2 linked regions of the Stegostoma tigrinum genome follow. The protein of the gene in region 1 binds, or shares a complex with, the protein of each later gene. Links are inferred from orthologs where the notes say so. Each region holds a gene or a part of one and is shown in the gene's direction. Other genes may lie near its edges.

Region 1 (3,921 bases):
AGCTGGAAGACCCAGCGTAAAATCTTGCTCCGGGTCCTGTTGAAAACTGAACAACTGCTGCACAAAAGCCAGTGTGTGTCAGTGCCAGCTCCCCAGCTTGGATAAATGGGATGGATTAGTGGCAAGAAGGACATCTGGCTGTACCAGCACCTGCCAAATCTGAAAATGATACTGACTTGGAGAGAGATCAAAAAGAAATAGGGTGATCCCATGTATCATGGGAACAGCTAAAAGAAGGAAGGATTGAGCGCTAAAACCTGGCCAAAATCCCTTACCATCTCTTTCTTCTAAAAACAAAAACAGCATGGAATCTTTTAGAGCCATCCTAGGAAGGCAGACAGCCATAAATTTAATATATCTTTGTTATTCAACTATGCAGCATTTTGTTCATACTGTAATTAACTTGGATCACAGATATTTTAGTCAACTTTTTCATGAAATGTTATGATACATATCTGAAACAGGTGGGACTTGATCCTGGGCTTTCTAGCTCAGAGATAGGGATTCTACCACTGTGCCTCAAGAACCCCTCAACCCAAATCGCATTCTTCCTCTCCAGCGTGGGACCTGACCATTTGATCTTTTGATTTGGAAACAAAACTGCAAACTGAAAGCAGTCACTAAATCAAACAATGATTACCTTCAATACATACAAGGTGAATCTCCTTGGAGATAATGGCAATAGCCATTACATAGGAATGGCATGTTTACATTAGCTGCTCGCTGAGCAATAAACAGGGCAATGAAGAATTTACGACTCATTTCTGTGTTTTATGAGTATGTACAAACACTATGACTGGAGAAGTTATGATTAAACTCGAAAATAATTAAAACTGTCACTTTATCTTCCTATTCCTCCCATAATTTATACACATCTTTCAGCAATTATTATAAATTCCAAATGCATGGCAATAATTCTCCCCCGGCCGGAATCACCAGTGGTAAATTCTTTGTAGGCTCATCAAATTCTGGTAAATTATTAAATGTAAGATGGAGTTGTTCACCTACGAGGCAGCTGGTTTCGGCGGTCACGTGCAGCAGACAGGTAGGAGCCAAGTGGCGCCTCTACTGGATGCGCCTCTCGAATGGAAGTTACTGGCTCTGGGGACGTTCCAAAGCGGAGAGCATGACAGGCGCGCGCCGGGGAGCGGGCACGCGCACACCGAGCCTGCCGTCCTCGCTCCAGTCAAACTGTACCAACTCTGTTCCAACTTCTGCAAAATCCTTCTTCTGAGGCGACTTGTTTGTTTCGAGTTTAACACCGGGAAACCGAAACAACAAGAACCTGCCGGATCAGGGTAAAACTGGTTTCAGAATTTGGATGTTTTTATCTCTTGCTGTTTCCTTTACTTTGAGGTCTTCATCATTTCACGCCAGGTATGATCGACTTAAGAGATTGCTTTCAACTGTTTGAGGTACTTGCATGTTTCCCAAAGGTTCGTGTTATATATTAATAATCTTACACAATTTATTAATTTGTGTGCTTCTTCGTTGCAAAATTGTGCCAGAATGTTGCTGGCACGATATCTAGTGGGTGGACCTGTGAGTCAGAGGTCTGTGCCAATGGTGATATTGATGGCCCACCCACCCCATTCCAAATTTAGTAGCAGTGTTGGGGGAAGCACCTGAGGCCCTCAAAGTGACAATTAAGCTCAAATAAGGGCAATATCCCACTGTAGCTCTTATTTAACAGGTGGTGAGACATGTTGGTGCTCAGCCTGTACCTGGTATGTTTAACCATGTGGGCTGCTGGCTAGTTAGAGGGATGGTTCCCTCTGGATGCCTGGTGCCCACGGTTTTGCTTTCCGATGTCAACCCTCGGCCTAATCAACATGCCAAACATCAACTCCATCCTCCCCCTGCCAGGGGTTGCCAGCTTCTTTTCGCTGAGGTCGTGGATGTCCTTGCATGCCTGAATGCATTGCAGAATGCCACCTCCTTGGCCAACTACAGTACCAGCAATGTCCACCCATCCTGCTGGAGCAGTTTGTATTTAGGGCTGCCAGACTATAGACCTAGTGCTGGAAAATGGAATTAGTGTAGAATTTGTATAGGTTTGGCGTTACAGATTCAATGAGATGAAGGGCCTCTTCTGTACATAAAGTTCTGTCATTCCACGACAAGACAGAGCTTTCTCCTGGACACTGATGGAAGTCCTGCCTAACACTAATTAAATGGCCTTAGCCAAAAAAAAACTTTTAAAGAAACTTAAAGAAGGATGAGTTTGTTAAGATAAGGTGAGTACTTAAGAATGTAAGTGCCTTTTAAGGATGAGATTTACATTCTTGTAATGCTAATAAATCTATTGATTCCTGGAAGAAAACAAATGAAACTGTGTTGGCAAATGGCAGAGAAACTGAAAGGCAGATTAGAACATGAGATTCCTGCATGCAGTTGTTCTCCATAAGTCCTCCATATTTTCTTTTGGGAAACATTTTAAAAGTTTTGATTTTTTTTCTAACTTTCCCATTCCATCTTTTTTCCTCTCTTTCTCGGTTTCACTTTCTTTGTCTAATTTATCTTAAATTCAACCTATTTCTTCTCCATCACTCCTGTTTCTGCCAATTTTTTTGTATCTTATTGGTTAAGAAGATAGATTTTTAGACACCTAACCCTCCACTCTGAGATGCCCCATTGATCTTGTTGCACCATTGTTAGATTTGTACTTTGAGCAATTGTGGCACCATTCTCCACCCAGCTGAAGGATAAGGAAAGGAATTAACAAACGGAGCACGTATCCTGCTCCAAAAAATGTTTGGCCCACAGTGTTAGTACAAAGGACCATCAGTATTTTCATCCTTCTTTAAAAATTAAAATTGTATAAAGCTGCCTTATAACAGGATAATTAAACAAACATACAGGAGATTGCATAGTTATAGCAGGTTGAACTGAAGGTTGAAATAAATCCTGACTGAGTTATTACTCTTTCTGTGCATTGTAATATTTGGTTTTGACTGGAGATTCTGGCCTTTGTTAGAATCACAGAAAGGCTACAGAAGGCTATTTGGCCTGTTGAATCTGGACCAGAGCCTGAAACAGCAATCTGTTAAATCCCACCTCTTATCTTTCTGCCCTTGCCCCATGGCTTTGCAAAATTTTCCCCTTCAACTACTCATTTAATTCTTTTGAAAGTCACAATTAAATCTGCCTCCATCATGCTTTGCAGTAATGCATTCCAGTTCATACCACTTACTGCACAAAAACGTTTTTCTCAAGTTGGCATTGGTTCTTTTGCATCACTTTAAATCTGTGCCTTCTGGTTATCAATTCTTTTGCCGATGTGAACAGCTTCTTACTACTCTGTCCAGATCTTTTATGACTTTAATCTTCTCCATCAAATCTCTCAACTTCCTGCGTTCCAAGGAGAACAACTCCAGATTCTCTAGCCTCTTTGTAACCGATTTCTGTTATCCCTGAAACCAGTCTCATCAACCTTTTCTATATGTTCTCTAGGGTCTTTGTAGGCTATTGGCTGTTACCTTCAAAACCTAGAATTAATGCTGCTGCGGTCTCCAGTACATTTTGTATCACTGCACTTTGCAAATACTGCATTGCTAAGTGACATGCATATTTGTTCTGTATCGATTCAGCTGCTGCTCTAACCTATCTATCCAGTTGCAACCTGTATCAGTGTATACCTGCCTTGTATCAGAACAAAAGGCAACTCACTGAGATTGGAAACAGCCCATGAAGAAAGCAGAATAGTTAGTGGAGTATGAGCTTCTCCCCATATGATGAAGGTCAAAAGCACTCACTCCACTCCCACTCTAGAGCTTGAGTGCAAACATCAAGGCGAGTACTCCATTGTAAGTATTGATGGAGTCCTGTGCTGTCAGAGGTGCCATTTTTCAGGTGAGAAATCAACCAAAAATAATCTGCCTCCTTGGGTGGATATGAAAGATCATTGACGTTATTTTGGAA
Region 2 (3,921 bases), on another chromosome or scaffold:
CTGTTCAATTCAGAGTGAACATTGCACCAGGATTGGGTGGTGGAAGGAGTCGTTACGGGGATGGTGTGCGTTTGTGGTGAAGTGGCAGTGTCCTTGCCTCTGAGCCAGGAGGCACATGTCCAAGTCCCACTCGAGCTATGTAGATTTCAGAGCAGGTTGTTTGAAAACAAAAACAGAAATTGCTGGAGAAATTCAGTGGGTCTGGCAGCATCTGTGGAGAGAAAGCAGAGTTAACATTTCCAGTCCAAAAGAGTTCTGAGTTTACGGTTCTCCGAACCCCTACACCCCAGGCCTCAACTTCACCTGGACTGTTACCAAAACCAACCCTTTATCAGCCACTAATGGCCCACATGAGCAGCTATTGGTTCTCCCCGGCTGACCTCTACCCATTCCTTTGCCAGCCCAGGTGTTTTTCTACCTCTCTGGGCTCCATATCCACCCTCCCCATCTTCAGCAATGTACACCAAACTTTTTCCTAGCTAAAATCAGTTCTGAGGAAAGGTCGCCAGACCCGAAACGTTAACTCTGATTTCTCTCCACAGATGGTGCCAGACCTGCTAAGTTTCTCCGGCAATTTTTGTTCATGTTTTGGATTTCCACCATCCGCAGATCTTTGCATTTTTTTTGTTGTTGTTTGGGTTGTTTAACATAATCTATTGACAAAGGGCAATTCAATGAAACGAAATTGAACTGTGAATCCCATTCAGAACCTTGCCTCTGTCTAACAGGCTCCTGTTTAGACTCTCACAGTAAATTCCAGGCAGTTTCCAATGAGAGTAGCGCTTCCCGTTTCCCAGAACTTTGCCTAACCTGGTGCCGCCTCTCTCTCTCTCTCTTATGGATTATTCAAATCTCTTGTCATTAAATATTCAGGATGGTTCAGCCCAGTGGGATTTACAAAAGGAACAGACGCAAGTGTAAAATGGCCACGCCAAAGAAAGTGAAAGAGGTCAAGTCAATCTGGGAATTAGTGATTTGAGGAAGAAAACCTCAAAATGGTTTTGGACCGCTCGCTGGTTGCTGCAAAGAACGGGGACCTGCTAACGCTGCAGGATTTGCAGAAACAGGGCTTGATCCAACTGAAGGTAACCGACCATCTCGGAGCGACTCCAGTCCATCACGCCGCTCGATCCGGCCAACTGAGCGCCGTGAAATTCCTGGTGGAAGAGGCGAAACTACCCGGGAATAAGCGAGCCAAGAATGGGGCTACTCCGGCACACGATGCAGCGGCCACCGGGAATTCGGTCTGTTTGCAGTGGCTGCTCACTTCAGGAGGCTGCCACATCCAGGTAAAGGTCTGGGGGCGGGGGCGACAGGGTAATAACATTGGGGGCACGAGGGTGGGCTTGGCTGAGTCGGCCAGGAACAAGGGGGCAAAGAGGTTCAAAGTAGGGCAGGAGTGGGGTGCACTGGGGGCAGGACCTCAGAGCAACGAAATAGAAACTAAGGCAGGAGCTGGAGGCAAGGAGTGAGATCAATGGGATAGGAGTTGGGGCAATAGGATGAGGGCTGGAGACACTCAACGGTTGTAAAGTATCTGTGGCATTGGGACTTTGGAGTAGGATGTTGGGGGTAGATTAGAGTTGGGGGAAATGGGATATGGGAAGGAGCATTGGTGGCTGGAAAGTGTTTCCAGGAATAAGGCTCACTGAATGGAGAAATGTCATTAAAACTTTTTAAAATCTTGCCATTGTATGACACTAACTTATAGTTTGCAATGGTATCTGTCGATGGGAATAAATCCTTTCACAATTTTGTGTTTCCCAATGATCATAATCATGTTGATTATAATTTGAATAGAAGCAAAATCATATACAAGTCTAATTGTGGTGATTTCTATCCCACCTCCAAATTAGATCCACAACAATTTAATGGGCTTTATATTAATTTTAACTGTTATGAACACTTCTTCTCTAAATGCAATGAGTAGAAGTGAACTCTGCCCTGATGAAGCTTGTGGTAACTTCAGAGTTACAAACATTACAAGTTCGATAGTTATTCCCTGATCTCCAGTTGATCTGATTTCATCTTGGACAAAACAAACACAAGATCTTTCACAAGACTGAAACTTCTGGAGTTTGTTGTCACATCTGAGCTCTTACACTGTAATGAAAAATGGGAGAAACAGAGAAACCACTTGCTTTTTTCCTCATGATGATACCTGCTGTTTTCAGTCACGATGTTTTGTTCACTTGCATTTCACAGATGTTTGGAATATTTGCTTGCATGTTGCATTTTACAATGCAAATTCAACGTCCCACTGTATATCTTCTTTCTGTCCTGCTATTCTCCGCTGTAATCCTCTGCTCTTGGGAATTGAATTGCTACTAAGCACTAAGTGACTCTTCTAACTCACTTGCAAATAATTTCCTTCTTCCACTCCTGTCCCTTATTTATGTGCTCTATCTTAGATATTAATGAATTTTTTTCCCTATGTCTTTTCCCATCATTTTGCAATTTCCCTCTACTTTTTCATTTTCTCTATGAACCTCATTTTCACCCTTCTGTTATTTATTCACCTTCATGTCACTCTTATTTTCAAATTTCTATGTCCTCTATCATTTATTCTCTCAACTTTCTCTCACAACTAAGATAACGTGAGGAGAATGATTAATGTTAAATTGGACAGTTTGAAAAAAATATTTGTGGTCTGAGAATATGGAATGATTACGAATTACGTAGGATAACTTCATGTTTCCAGCATAGAAGCAGGCCATTCAGCCTAACTAGGCTGTGCTGGTGTTTATGCTCTTACCAAAACTCCTCTCTCCTTATCTTGTTTAACCCTATCAAACTGTCCTGTTCTTTTCCATCTTAAGATGTTGATCCAGTTTGTACTTAAATACATCTTTGCTTTTCGCCTTAACTAGTCCATTGTGGTACCAAGTTCGGCATTCTAACTAGTTGGAGTTGTTACATCAATGTAGAGGACTTTTCTCAACATCTGACAGACTTGCAAATGCTTGGCGTTAGGAGCCCTAAATGGAAAGTCTTTTCTTCATAATTTCTTAAATGATGCACACATCTCGTCAGTCGGAATGAAATTTGCTAAGGAATCAGAATTCCTACCTACTACACACAATTTTCACACGGGCGCTTGATGACATCTGAAAACTACTGCTGTTAGATTAAAAATAACTTGGGTCTTAATTTTTATCCACCATCTTAAAAATAATGCCACGAGCTTCCCCAGCCCCAATCTGTTCAGAGCTATTTTTTGAGGAGGGAGGATTGAGGGTTGCAGTTTCCAAGCAGCAGATAGCCAATCCCATCTTGTTAATGGCTGCCAGGAATATCAAAGAAGGCTGATGGATTTTCCAGCAGGTCTCCAGTTTAGATAGATGATGGGCATCAGCTCAGCTGCCTGGAGGCAGACTTTCAGTGGGAGACAGGCTGAGGCTGGGCTGGTGATTGAGACAAGCCTATGCTAGAACGTCTGAGCAATGAAGGCAAGCATGCTGCCTTCTTAACCACCCAATATACCTCTGGGTCTTCCTAGGTGCAACAGCAACCAAACAGCAACCATTAGAGGAATGCCCATACCCCTTCACCCAAACCCCACCCACCAAAACCTGATGCTCCAGCTGTAAAAATGATTTTTAATTTAGACAAAGAGATTGGAGAGTGGGTGCTTTCATTTTGAAGTGCTTCATCCTTACTCACCTTTCATTGTATCCTTCAAGCTGAAAGGCCAGTGAATCACCATCCAGCCTTGAGAGCCCACCTATGGTCTTTGGGTGGACTGTGAGCTGGCCTTTTGACTGTTAATTGGTCATCGCAGGCCAAATCAGAACGATCATTTCCTGCACAATGTCCTTCTGACTCACATTTGAATCTGACAGAAGGATTCAGAAGCTCAAAGGAACAATCTGCTCTGAATGTGCTTGTAACAAATTCCGTTCTGGGCTGTTATTAAAGTAG

Evidence for each region.
Region 2: the proteins of myo3b (region 1) and espn are in contact, whole or in part, in a crystal structure (PDB 5ET1), measured with the Mus musculus proteins. The link is inferred for Stegostoma tigrinum from reciprocal best matches to the Homo sapiens genes MYO3B and ESPN. Residues at the interface, in XP_017174528.1 of Mus musculus: Arg1223, Arg1224, Gln1226, Gln1227, Pro1228, Lys1229, Met1230, Leu1231, Ser1232, Ser1233, Asp1236, Thr1237, Met1238, Tyr1239, Tyr1240, Asn1241, Gln1242, Leu1243; in NP_997570.1 of Mus musculus: Leu35, Ala37, His41, Arg45, Ala67, Asn69, Ala71, His75, Asp76, Ala79, Thr80, Asp101, Ser103, Leu110, Arg113, Phe114, Thr135, Thr137, Ala139, His143, Tyr144, Ala147, Thr169, Asn171, Tyr177, Leu178, Gln181, Ala203, Asp205, Met207.

What each region holds. Positions count from the first base shown.
Region 1 is NC_081360.1:50,928,366-50,932,286, forward strand, and holds the start of myo3b (myosin-IIIb), read left to right. Parts: upstream 1-1,179; 5' UTR 1,180-1,321; coding exon 1,322-1,377; exon of another isoform or gene 1,378-1,457; intron 1,458-3,921.
Region 2 is NC_081381.1:19,872,546-19,876,466, reverse strand, and holds the start of espn (espin), read left to right. Parts: upstream 1-745; 5' UTR 746-995; coding exon 996-1,289; intron 1,290-3,921. UniProt on the Homo sapiens protein: Multifunctional actin-bundling protein. Plays a major role in regulating the organization, dimension, dynamics and signaling capacities of the actin filament-rich microvilli in the mechanosensory and chemosensory cells.